Linked DNA regions of Tribolium castaneum. The main gene of each other region encodes a partner of the protein of the gene in region 3 in a complex. Links are inferred from orthologs where the notes say so. Each region holds a gene or a part of one and is shown on either strand. Other genes may lie near its edges.

What was found.
Region 1: the proteins of ksr (region 3) and cnk are in contact, whole or in part, in a cryo-EM structure (PDB 8BW9), measured with the Drosophila melanogaster proteins. The link is inferred for Tribolium castaneum from reciprocal best matches to the Drosophila melanogaster genes ksr and cnk. Residues at the interface, in NP_001287177.1 of Drosophila melanogaster: Arg900, Gly901, Met902, Lys903, Gln904, Ser905, Leu906, Ala907, Gln910, Ser911, Gly912, Arg913, Lys916, Asp917, Met920, Tyr925, Lys945; in NP_001286524.1 of Drosophila melanogaster: Lys79, Asn80, Asn82, Gln84, Leu88, Glu183, Asn187, Ile190, Gln191, Ile193, Ser194, Asp195, Pro196, Val198, Leu199, Gln200, Pro201, His288, Thr289, Met291.
Region 2: the proteins of ksr (region 3) and Dsor1 are in contact, whole or in part, in a cryo-EM structure (PDB 8BW9), measured with the Drosophila melanogaster proteins. The link is inferred for Tribolium castaneum from reciprocal best matches to the Drosophila melanogaster genes ksr and Dsor1. Residues at the interface, in NP_001287177.1 of Drosophila melanogaster: Gln767, Tyr828, Asp830, Met831, Gly832, Leu833, Gly834, Val835, His837, Arg849, Ala850, Leu851, Gln852, Asp888, Gln889, Pro890, Ala891, Glu892, Ser893, Ile895, Trp896, Gln897, Gly899, Arg900; in NP_511098.1 of Drosophila melanogaster: Gly98, Gly99, Lys123, Asp236, Met238, Ala239, Asn240, Ser241, Phe242, Val243, Gly244, Thr245, Ser247, Met249, Arg253, Leu254, Gln255, Gly256, Ala310, Met311, Ala312, Ile313, Phe314, Leu317, Asp318, Val321.

What each region holds. Positions count from the first base shown.
Region 1 is NC_087398.1:13,503,701-13,507,355, reverse strand, and holds part of cnk (uncharacterized protein cnk), read left to right. Parts: intron 1-366; coding exon 367-960; intron 961-3,655.
Region 2 is NC_087403.1:8,130,332-8,134,468, forward strand, and holds the start of Dsor1 (dual specificity mitogen-activated protein kinase kinase dSOR1), read left to right. Parts: upstream 1-1,262; 5' UTR 1,263-1,624; coding exon 1,625-1,725; intron 1,726-1,770; coding exon 1,771-2,401; intron 2,402-4,137. UniProt on the Drosophila melanogaster protein: Required downstream of Raf in the sevenless (sev), torso (tor), and Drosophila EGF receptor homolog (DER) signal transduction pathways.
Region 3 is NC_087399.1:8,293,422-8,297,609, reverse strand, and holds the start of ksr (kinase suppressor of Ras 2), read right to left. Parts: upstream 2,871-4,188; 5' UTR 2,726-2,870; coding exon 2,573-2,725; intron 2,527-2,572; coding exon 2,253-2,526; intron 2,199-2,252; coding exon 1,923-2,198; intron 1-1,922.

The DNA.
Region 1 (3,655 bases), on a different chromosome or scaffold from region 3:
TTATATTCGTTTCGCTTATGTTGTTTTCGACGTTTATAATTATTGTTTATATTATTTTTTTAAGATTTTTTTTGACTCGTCTCGACGAAAAGTTTAAAAGTTAGTAAGTTTCTGACTTTCAAATGTTCTGGCTGAAATAAAGTAATTGAGACCTGGTTTGATAACTTTCTAAACTTGTATCTAACAGAATAAGTTATAACATATTGGTAGATATGCGTTCTTTAATCATCTTTAATTTATAAAAAATGTATACAAGGAGTTTTAAAAGTAACTGTTTTTGGCATATATTTTTGGTTAGCACAGTAGTTTTTATTATTCAAACAGTAAAAACTATGTTAATATGATTGTAATTTTCGCATATTGTAGAACACGTAACTAGTACGGTTTCCGAAAGCGAGCCGTTCTCCGAAATGAAATACGAACTCGGAATCCCTATCGTGGACGCCATAAGCTTGCCACTGACCCAAACGGTGCCAGTCGTCGAAGAAATCAAAATCACTCTCACTGAAAAAACTGAAATTAAGCAAGGAATCGACGAGGATTTGCCACCAAAACCTCCGCCACGAACCTTCGGCGTTGTCGATTTTAACAAACCGGCTTATCCCATCGATTCACCTAAACCCAACATTTCGGAAAAATTGAAAGGGGATTTAGCGGCGAAATCGACCGTTTTCGAATATCTTGACACCAAACACACTTATTCGACTGAAGTAACTACGGTTTCAAAGCCACCTGAATCACCAGCTTTGCTTAAAGAGAGCAATAAATTACAAAATAAGTTTTTTGAGCCGAAGACGGCATCGACTCCGAAAAAATCGGACTTTGGCGAATCTGTGCCAAGTTTTGAGGTGCCGAAAAATATGAGTGAGAGTAAAATTTCGCCGACGAATTCGATAGTGCGTGCCATGATTTATTCCAATAAGAATAAGGCAGGGAAAAAGAAGAACACAATCACTGCAAGTAAGTATAGAATAGAATTGCACTTGTGATATTTGTGATAAAACCATGTGACGTTGAACATGTCAAAAAACAATATCAAAACGTAATCCCACTTAAGAAACAATTGCAAATACAAATTATTATAATTCCAAACTAAGATAAATTTAAACAAGACTCATGCACATTTTTTTTCTGTTGAAAGTCTTTTCGTTTTTGAAATAAAAATTATTGATAATTAGATCAAATTTTGCTGTATGTAATGGGGATTAAAAGGTAAACATGGTTACTTAAATAATGTCATTCTTATAAACACTAACAATTAATTTCCGACTATGACTGTGATCAGTAGTGCCTAATGTATATGGATAGGGGTTGATTTATTTCCATATTTTTGACCTAACAAAAAAATGTTTTCCGTACTTGCTGGATCTTTTTAATGACTTTTTTGGCAGGTTGTATTAGGACCACGCTGTATATCACAAAAACTCAATTGAGACTTTGTGAAACTCATTTAGGGTATAAAAGCATTTGATTAACAAAAAAATCAATCAATTATTATTATTCCTAAAATCTCATTGCTACAAATTATAATCAAAAATTTGATAGTTTTTACACGTAATTTATTTTTTTTCGATACAAAATTTATTATGCATAAGACAAGATAAAACAAAAATGTAGTTAATCCAATGAATTGCATTTCAAATTAAGACGTTTATATTTTTAATCGTTTCAGTTATTAATCACACAATAGGTTTTATTAACATTTTTGTTTATGAAATGTTTCAAAAAATTGGTAACCAGAATAAGTTAGAGAACGTTAGAGTAATTGATTTATGGAAATACTCTGATTAAAATTTTGACCATTACCTTGTGCAATGGTTCACTGGAAATATTTAACAACACCTAATACCACAAGAGATGACTTAAAACCAAAATTTTTTTTCAAATTGATAAATTTCCAAATAATAAATTATTTAAGTACTTGTTAAATTGTTACTGTATTTTGTATCTGTCTAATTTTTATATGTTCTTGAAATTCAAAAAGCAAGTTCCCAAAAAATAAAAATAATCTTTTTAATTTGAGTTACCCACTAATTTTTTGTAAATAAAAAATTGTATAAGATTAAGCCACTTTTTTGCTTGAAAATTTGCGAACTCAATCGTGACTTAATTATTATTTACCATTGTTTCCCATATAGTTTTACCTTTTGTCAAAGCGTCAAAAGATTGTGTCGCGATGAACTTGTAAATTGTTTTACTTCATATTTATCCAAACCAATACCTATTTCCAACAAGAAATCCTTAAACATTTAAAAAATTCAAATGTAGTTTGAAAATTCAAAAGTAGTTTACGATCTTTAATGATTTCTCAGGGGTTGGTTTTGGTCAAGGTATCGACTTTGCTCAGTAGGCGTTCGTTTATGGACTTTTTGGGCGGCTGTACATGGATTTGTTCACCCCTTGAGAAGAAATTGTATACCTGTTACCATTTATATTTTTGCATTTTGTTTACTGAATTTTGATCACTTTCTTTAGCAATTTCTAACCCTTTTAATACTAATTTCGATTTGTTTGTATTTATATTATTTATAATATTTTTTTATAATTTTCAACGCTGCTTTAGTTTTAGTATTTTTTATTATGTTTTTGGTATTTATAAAATTTTCTTTTGGTATTTAACCATTTTTGAAAGTTCTTTTTTTTGTAATTTTTTTTACATAAGCTCAATATAGTTTTTAACCGTTTATTGAGAACCGGCTTATAACGAACCTTCAGATATAACGAATTAAGATTTGACTTAAAATGTGATGCAGTTTTCCATTTATAATGAACTTGTGACCGAATTTTGAAGAATATATTGGAGTTGATAATAAAGCAATAATTGAACTGATGAACAGATTATTAAATTACTAACTGAAAATATTTTAACCAATGAGAACATATTGTATTTTTAAACATAATTACAGTATGAATTTTATATTTGTGCAAATATTTTATATTAGTAGAGCTCAAATGAAGTCAAAATAAATCAACGAATGTTTTTAGCGATTTTTTAAAAATGTAGAAGGTGCAACTTCTACATTAGCGTTGAAAGATTCTTAAAATAAAGTATTAATATTAACAGGGTTTGTTTTTTTTGAGTATTTTATTTCAAAGCTTACATTTCTAACAGGCGATGACATTTGAGGGAATGATATTGGGTGGTGGTATCTTCGCAAAAAAATTTACATTTTTATAATTTTTTTATGAGAGGACTTTTCTGTAGATGTTTTTTCTAATTTTAAGTCAATGTAATAAATTTTAAAGAACTCTGTATAAACTGAGAGATCATATTTATTTTAATTATTTGTTTGTGGTCCTTTTCAGACACTGTAAATATTTGTATAATGCAAATTGAATTATTTTCACTTCTTTTGGGCTCTGTTATAAGGTTATCACTTTTTTTACAATACTTGCATAACTATCAAATTCACACACTATGTACTTATTACTATTTTACAGAGGGTTTATGTTTTTTTAAAATACTTATTTATTTCGTTATGTAAACTAAAAAGAACTGCTAAAAATACACTTTTTTTTTAATCAACCACTTACAGAGAATCTCAGATATAACGCACTGATATTGATATACTCGTTTCTGAGTTTGTTATAATCGGACACCACAAATTGTTTTAAGTGTAGAGGGTTTTAAATGGAAAATATTTAATAAGTAAAC
Region 2 (4,137 bases), on a different chromosome or scaffold from region 3:
AGAAATTTTATTTTGCGAATTATAGTGTAAAATCTTTATATTATAAGCTATTTTTTAAAATAAAAATAGTAGAAAAAGTTGTCCAAGTTACTAAAATTTGGATTTGAAACTTCACTTCTAGTTTTGTACAAAAAATTCAAATTCCAAAAATAATTTCAGCATTAAAAAGAACAGTAAATTTTCTAAACAAAAGCCCAACTTTAAATATCTTGTTGTGCATTAGTTATAAGAATATAAGTCAAAAATAAGTCTCATATAAAAAATCATTATGTATTTAGATTAACAATCATTCTTTCTAGAAAACCAATTATTCCGAATATGACCGAATCTTAGGTTGTAAATTTTTTTTTGGTTGTCTGCTTCAAGTAAAATGCCTCAAATAATAAGAAAGGGTAAAAAAATTTTTAAAAGGTCATATGCATAGAGAATAAAAATAAAATATTTAATTGCAAACGCTGGTTTTTGTGTTTTGAACCACTACTTTTAGTAGACACCTTCTATTTTTTTTAATAATTATTATAATTTTTTAATTTTGAAACTTAAACATAAAAATATAAGCAAAAAAACACACAAGAACAAAAAATAAAGCCTTTTGTGTCAAATTATCAATCACTGCTTTATTATTTCCAATAGAAACGACATCCAAGAAAATAAAATCTTCCTGTCTAAGATTTTTTTGAAAAATGATCCATAGCAAGAGACAGGTGATTATGGTGGCATCAGGTTCTTATAAAAGAGGTTGTACTGTAGTTACCACACATGTACAGGATTAAATATTTTGTAAAGCTGGTACGAAAAATTGTAATTATGCATGACTGACTGTATCTAAACTAAATAAAACACACACTTGAATTGAACCGAATTTTTCTCACTCCTCCATTATCCCAAAATTAATTAATACAATCGAACAGGGCGGACATTTGGCTCAATTCGTGTATCTATGGTATGAATTTTTAATGTTGCGGTTTTGATGACGCTGCATACATTTATTATTCAATTTATAATACTATATCACATAAAATTCCCTTCTTTGGTACCGAATAATTACTTATCAATTATTTATCCTCTCATAAAATCTGTTCTATCACATTTTGAATATATAATTTCAGCCGGCGTTCTAGTGCCACCTTGTACCAAAAGCACCAACGATATATTAGGCACTAAAGGGTGTTGCAACTAGGAATGCGCAGTGTGGTATCGCAAACACAGGTGGCGCTATACAAGTTACGTAACAACAAAAACTGTTTTATTATTATTTTATTTATTGCAACTATTTTGCTAAGTTTATAAATAAAAATTTGTAGCAATAACAATAATAACATTGAATTATAAGAACGGTGCGAGCGCCACCCGTGTCACTCCAGCGAACTACATAATTGACTGATGTCAGATGTTTTCTTTACTTGTGTTTTTTTCTTTATTTACGTAAAAACAATAAGTGTAACATAAAAACAGTCAAAACACAACCACTGGTTACAATGTTCGCGGTTGCAGTCTCTTCGCTAAACCAAAAATAATTCTAAAAAGTTGGTAGATAATGTTGATATTTTGAGGCTTTTTATCTATGGGTGTCAACGTCCCTTCCGTTAATTAATCAGTGATACAAGTGTAATATTTGGGAGAGATGTCGAAGAACAAGCTAAACCTGACCCTCCCCCCGGGTTCGCTGGACCAAACCCCCACGGTGACCCCCACAAGTGCGCCGTTTCCGGACGCCGCAGCCCCGTAAGTGTCTTTTCCGTGCGTTTCGAAACTGGAGGGCAGTTTCAGGTCGAACAACGTCGGGGGCTCCAGCATCGACAACCTAACGGCCCGGATCGAGGGCTTGGAGATGGACGCCACGCAGAGGAGGCGCATTGAGGTGTTCCTGTGCCAGAAGGAGAAAATCGGGGGTGATTTGAGCGACGACGATTTGGAAAAACTGGGCGAGTTGGGGTCGGGGAACGGCGGCGTCGTTATTAAAGTCCGCCATAAATCCGGGCTCATCATGGCCCGGAAATTAATCCACTTGGAGGTGAAACAGGCGATCAAACTCCAGATAATTCGCGAATTGAAAGTCTTGCACGAGTGCAATTTCGCGCACATTGTGGGCTTCTACGGCGCGTTTTACAGCGATGGGGAGATCAGCATCTGTATGGAGTATATGGACGCTGGGTCTTTAGACTTAATTCTTAAAAAAGCCGGACGGATTCCCGAAAATATACTCGGGAAGATTACCGTTGCGGTTTTGAAGGGGCTGAGCTACTTGAGGGATAAACACGCGATTATGCACCGCGATGTTAAGCCCAGTAATATACTCATTAATAGTAGCGGCGAGATCAAGATTTGTGATTTTGGGGTCTCGGGACAACTTATAGACTCGATGGCGAACTCTTTCGTCGGAACGAGAAGCTACATGTCGGTAAGATATCACAAAGTGTTACAAACAAGAAAAAAGCTGTCACCAGAATAAATACTTGTCAATCTACCACCAAAATCTTATAAAACTCTTATGAAAGCTTTATTAAATTTTAATTCGTTGTTGAACGTTAACAACGCAAATACACCAATGAAATTGGTTTAATTTGGTCACGTGATCAGTTAATCACGCATTTAATTGCAGATTATCTTAATGACGCTTCTATAAACGGGTCCTTAGTTATTAAAGATGAAAAGATGTGTTAAAGTTTTTGAAAATCGACATAGTTTTGCACTAAAAAATAAAATTACATAATTGTTTTATCTCAAATTAACGTAAAACATATCGAATGTTATATTTTGTCACCCAATTAAATGAATAATTAATTATCGTAATTTATGTCGGATCAGATAAACTTTTATATTCGGAGAATAACTAGCTTTACTTAATTTCCAGACTGTAAGAATTTGTATTACTTAGGAGTAATGCACTTTTTTTAGAAAGAATACGTTTCTTACTCACTTGTTATATATATACTAAACAGAATATTATATTATTGAGATTATAAGTAAAACTTTATGGGCTAAGGTTAAGGCTGGTTAAGGCTGAGCCGTGCAATATATGCAATTTTTTCTCCAAATGTTATATAATATAATTAATGCATTTTGTCTCATAAAATTAATGGATCATTTAAGAAAATAATACAATATGTAATAATCTAAATTTCTTGTTTGGATGCCAATTCACCAAATCAAAAAAATAAATAAATAATTGCGAAATGTCTGAATGATATCTGCCGGCAAATTACGCATTGTTTGGTGAAATAGTAGTGTTTTAAGTTATTCAGAATGCGACGAATTGTACTTTTAATGTTAATTAGTAAATATTGTTATTATTAGGCTAAATTGAGTAAAATAAGCTTGCTTTTTTACAGGTTTTAAATAGTAATCATAAACAGCTAAATGAAATACGTCAAAATATCAAAATAACTCACTTTAAAGAATATGTTAGAATAAATTGAATTTTTTTTAAGTAACGTCAACTTTCGTTAAAAAATTAATTTTGTCAAATTTAGAACTAAATTAGTCTGCCAAAAGTATTGTTTTTACTTCATCTCAAAAACTAATGATCACAGAGAATTCTGAGTTTGCTATTAAATAGTTAATGGTTATTTCTATCTATAAATTTTTTTACAAGACTTAATATTAAGCCGTTGAAAAAAATAGTTTTTATACCTTAATGCAAACGGTGCTTAAATATTGTTTTGTGCAAAAATACGTAGAAAATTCACGTTATTTTGGAGCTTAACAACATTTTATTGTGAATGATATGGAATCTGAAGAACTTTGCACGCTTAGAGAAAAAATAAGGAATTAAAGCAAACGCTGATTATTATTAGTTCTTGAAATATAGGAAAAAAATTTTTCAGCAGATTCATCTTGCAAATTATCATTTACAAAATGATGATATCTGACGTTCAACGAAAAAAAAAAACATTTTTTAAATAAGTTAAACAATTTTTTAACGTAAGAACATTGTTTTTAAATAAATTTTTTGTTATAATTATTTCATGTAATATCACTGCCAGTAAGGTAACAAAACTAATGTAAACTAGGTAAGTAAAATACATGCTAAATAATTAATAACAAAAGATACGTAATAATGCTAAACATTACATTACATTACATCAACAATACTTGTTGATAAATAAGACCTTTTTGAACCTATTTTATGATGTT
Region 3 (4,188 bases):
AAGTCGCCCTGATTCCCTAAGATTATACAGTGATCATAAAATTGGTCTATTGTTTAAAATGTAGCCGATATCCTATTAAAAACAAACCCCAGTCGTAAATTGTTCAGGCACATTTTGAACTGCCACCCTTGTCATAGGGTCCAGAACGGAATAATTCGAGTCCGCACAAAATAAATGTGTTTTATATAAACAATGATTTTATTTAGTTACCTGATACTTGCAATCGGTGTTTACAGTCATTATTTTTCTTTGTAAACAGATACTTATGCTGATTGTGAATTTTAAAAACATTAGGAACTAGGAAAATTATTTGCCGTCTTCGAAAAGTTTGCCAGTATTCGAAAAGTAATTTATTGCAAGGGTGCGTGGGTCTTAATACCTGCACAATAGATGGTCCTAACTACGGATAATCAGGTTTATGGTGATTGTATAATCTTACAAGATCAGACCTACTTTATATCAAGATTTTTGATGGTGACTGTACGTACTTATAAAACTATTTCAGTTCCTAGAAAGATAAAAAAGCTGTGAACTACCAGGAAATCATTCCCACTTAGATTTCTTTAGCGAAAATCTTACCGTAGTATCAATAAATGTGAAGAAAGATGGCATCAAGACATATTACACATAATGAGAGACGATACAAAAGGAAATAATCCAAAGATCGTCAATTATAGCAATTTTGTTGGTTGAAAGTTCAACAGAAAATATGAAGCAAAAAAATATTGTTAACGTGCAACTACATACATTTTTTAATGATTTTTAGTGTTTTAGAACGAATTATAACATTTGTTGTAAATTATTATCGCAGTCATTAAATTCACAGTTATAGTTTTAAGTAAAACCAACGATTTTCATAAAAAATCAATTACAAAAAAGTTTATGTAAACATAATTTTTGTTATTAAATGTCTATTCACCTCCGCTGCCGGCAACGACGACGCTCATTCCAGCTGCCGGCAAAATTTTTCTAAAATTTGCTGTTGATTTTAATGTCTTTTTTAATTACCAAAACTCTCTAAAATACTTATATCTCAAAAAATTAGGTGTTATTCTTATCGCTAATTTACCTATGTAGTACTTACTCCTAAACATTCTAATAATTCAAGTTAAATTATTTTTGCTTATTTTTATAGTTTTTAAAAGCCACCCTGCGTGTACGCACATACATACATTGTATTCTAAATTTTCGAGCATAAAAAATTAAGTCGTTTATGGGTAAAAAAAATCATTGAACGTTTCAAGAAGTATGACGCTATTAGGCCAAAATAATTTAGATCATAAAGTCGTTTTTTTTATTTATAAATTTTGTGAACAATCAAATCCCAGATATTCGTGTAACAACATAAATTTGTTTCATAAAAGCCTTTTTTTTGTCCAACATCATCTGGAGTTTTAGTGTTTTTGTTCTGAATCATGTGTCACCTCTACAATTTTAATTGAATCTTTTATTTAAACGACGTCTAACACTTTCAACAACCTGTAATCAAAATGTAATGCATAATAATAAGAAATTTTTTGCAGACCAGTATTACAGAAAAAAATAAAAATCAACATTTCGATGAGTAGTGTTCGGAAAAAAACACCTTTAAATATTTTTACACATTTTTCTCACCAAAACAAAAACCCTATTTCTCATATTTTTTAATTAGTAGTTTTCTTTATCACTACCAAAGACGACATTAATTGAGAAAATCTTTAAAACACCTGCATAGTTTAGAGTTCGAAAAAACATCAAGAAAATAGTTTGTTTCAAATAAAAAAAATTGTCAGCAAATAACCGAAAACACTGATTTTGTTGCATTAAAAACATATGTAGGGTGGCAATTATTTTACCACCGGGTACATTTAGTTTAAAAAACATTGAAACTGTCAAACCAACGGTCCAAAAACAGTGGGGGTCCCATGCGGAGTCATGCGTACCTTTCCCCTTTAGAGGTGGGGGAGTAAGGGGAGGCCCAAGCACACACCGATCAGCATTCAGAGAATTGATGCTAGACACAGAGGAGGAAGGAGGGATCGCACCTCCACGATTATTATTGTTGCAAAGACTCTCCTCTGACGGGACCGAAGCCCTGGCGGCCCGTGTCCTGCTCGTGCGCGGCGACAGCCCCCCGACTTTGAAGTTCTGATGCCGGTCCCAGGAGTCCCAATACAGGTGCATGTCCGAGTTGTCTTTGGCGCCCCGTTTGAGTGCATCTACAACAAATTAAATGAATGGAATTCCCACCCAAACAAAAATGTAAGAAGCACCTGTGTAGCGTTTGAGGTTGTGGAGGGCGCGACACAGCCGACTGAGCTCCTCGGGGCGCGCCCCACGGTCGTTGAGGATGGTCCTGAGCTCATGCTCGGACTTCTCCTGGAGCTCCTCCACGGTGGAGATCTTCTGGCACAGCCCTTGGATGGAGTTGCCGCTGAGCCCCACAACTTGCAGCCATTGGATCAACGAGGGGATCTGGTCGGCGCCCCCGCTCCGAAGCGCCAACTTCTTGATTAATTGGTCAGAGAAGAGTTTGATGAGTTTGCCCTGAAACATGAAGGGTTCGATGGGGTTGCGAGCTAGGGGGGCCTACCTCCAGGGTCCGGATTTCTTGCTGGGTCAGTTCTGCGGTTGTTGCACATTGTGTACGGAGCCCTTCTAAACGTTGAGCAGAAACATCAATCATGGATTGAATTATATCGAGCTGATTCCTTATTTCTCTGTCCGCCGCTTCCGCATCGGCCATATCACAGTACAGTTACAGACTAATATTTACATTTAGTTTCAATAACATAAATATTTACATATCACTATTTTTACAGTTTTACAGCTGTATTAGCGCTGATTTTTCATTCAATACCGATTCTTGTCATCGGCCATCTTTAAACAGGCCCCTGAAAGTGTATACAAATTATGTGTTCACTAGGAGGGGTGGGGCAAAGGGGGGAAATGGCTAAAATAGTTCGTGTGCTCCAGCTTAGAGGTCGCGTCAGTTGCAAAGAAATCTGTAAATTTAAAGGAATCTGTCACACATTTTGCTAAAAGTAAAGAAGGTTCACTTAAAAATAATCGACGTGCGCACACTTCTCTCTTTAATTCTTTGATTTATCAACAGCCGATTATTTTGCTGTCGTTGTGGTTTTTGGCGACATTTTGTTTTAATGTGTTTTAAAGACTTCAGAAAACGATTTAACGTGATTTTTTGGATGTTTTTGTGATCAAACATCTCTACTTTTATATGGATCTTTTATTTGAATCTAGTGTATAGTGTGAATGACAGTGTTTTAATGAAGGATGAATCAACTTAAGGCAAATTAAGGTAAACGTTATTGAAAGGTGTCTATACAACAATTAATTGCGATTTCTAGATATTAATATAATCATATTACACCAAGAAGGATCACACAAACTTAGGAGATGAAGACCGTCCTTGGAGATGATAACGGTTCTTGGGATGTAATTGAAAATCCCATGAAGACGAGTTAAATATAATGTGCAGTAATTAATAGGTATATCATAATAATAAATAAATTTATTGTAGTTGCGAAGCTAGTATTTTGTGAAAGCAGGGAGTTTAGGACTTGCTATGGTTCAAGGTTTTCAAATTCGCCATGTCCCTCTATGTCTTAATCTTTTATGTTGTTTTACACAATGTTATAACGCCTATGCCTGTTAAAAAAACAAGGTTTGTCCTTTTTGTGATTGCTTAATTTAGAAACTAAGCGAAAAAACGTATTCTACAAGTATCATACAAGTTAATCAATATTAAAGCCTACTATTATTATAAATTTAAATGATTACATGGTAGTTTTAATCAGTTAACTTCCAGTGATAGTTATGTATATCAGATATGTGGGTTTTTATTTAAAATAATTTTAGCACACTTGTAATTCTCTTGTGTTTGAGTAATTTACTAATAACTACGATGCAATCGAGATTACTTTTAAAAAATTTCAAAACTTATCAAGAACTTTGACATCAAACTGTTAAAGTACGTGTTAGGGCCGCTTTTACAAACGTCCGTAAACCTTATAACCGCGAATAAATTTCGAAAAATAGTTGTTTAAATTTAGCCTTAAGGGACTTAAAAATTGGACTATTGTCAAAGGTTACAAGCAAAATTTTGATATTTTTTTGCTTTTCTGAACAGTCTGTAGACAAGTAATCAAACCAACAAAACTGATGTATTTATACAGACTGATCCCGAAA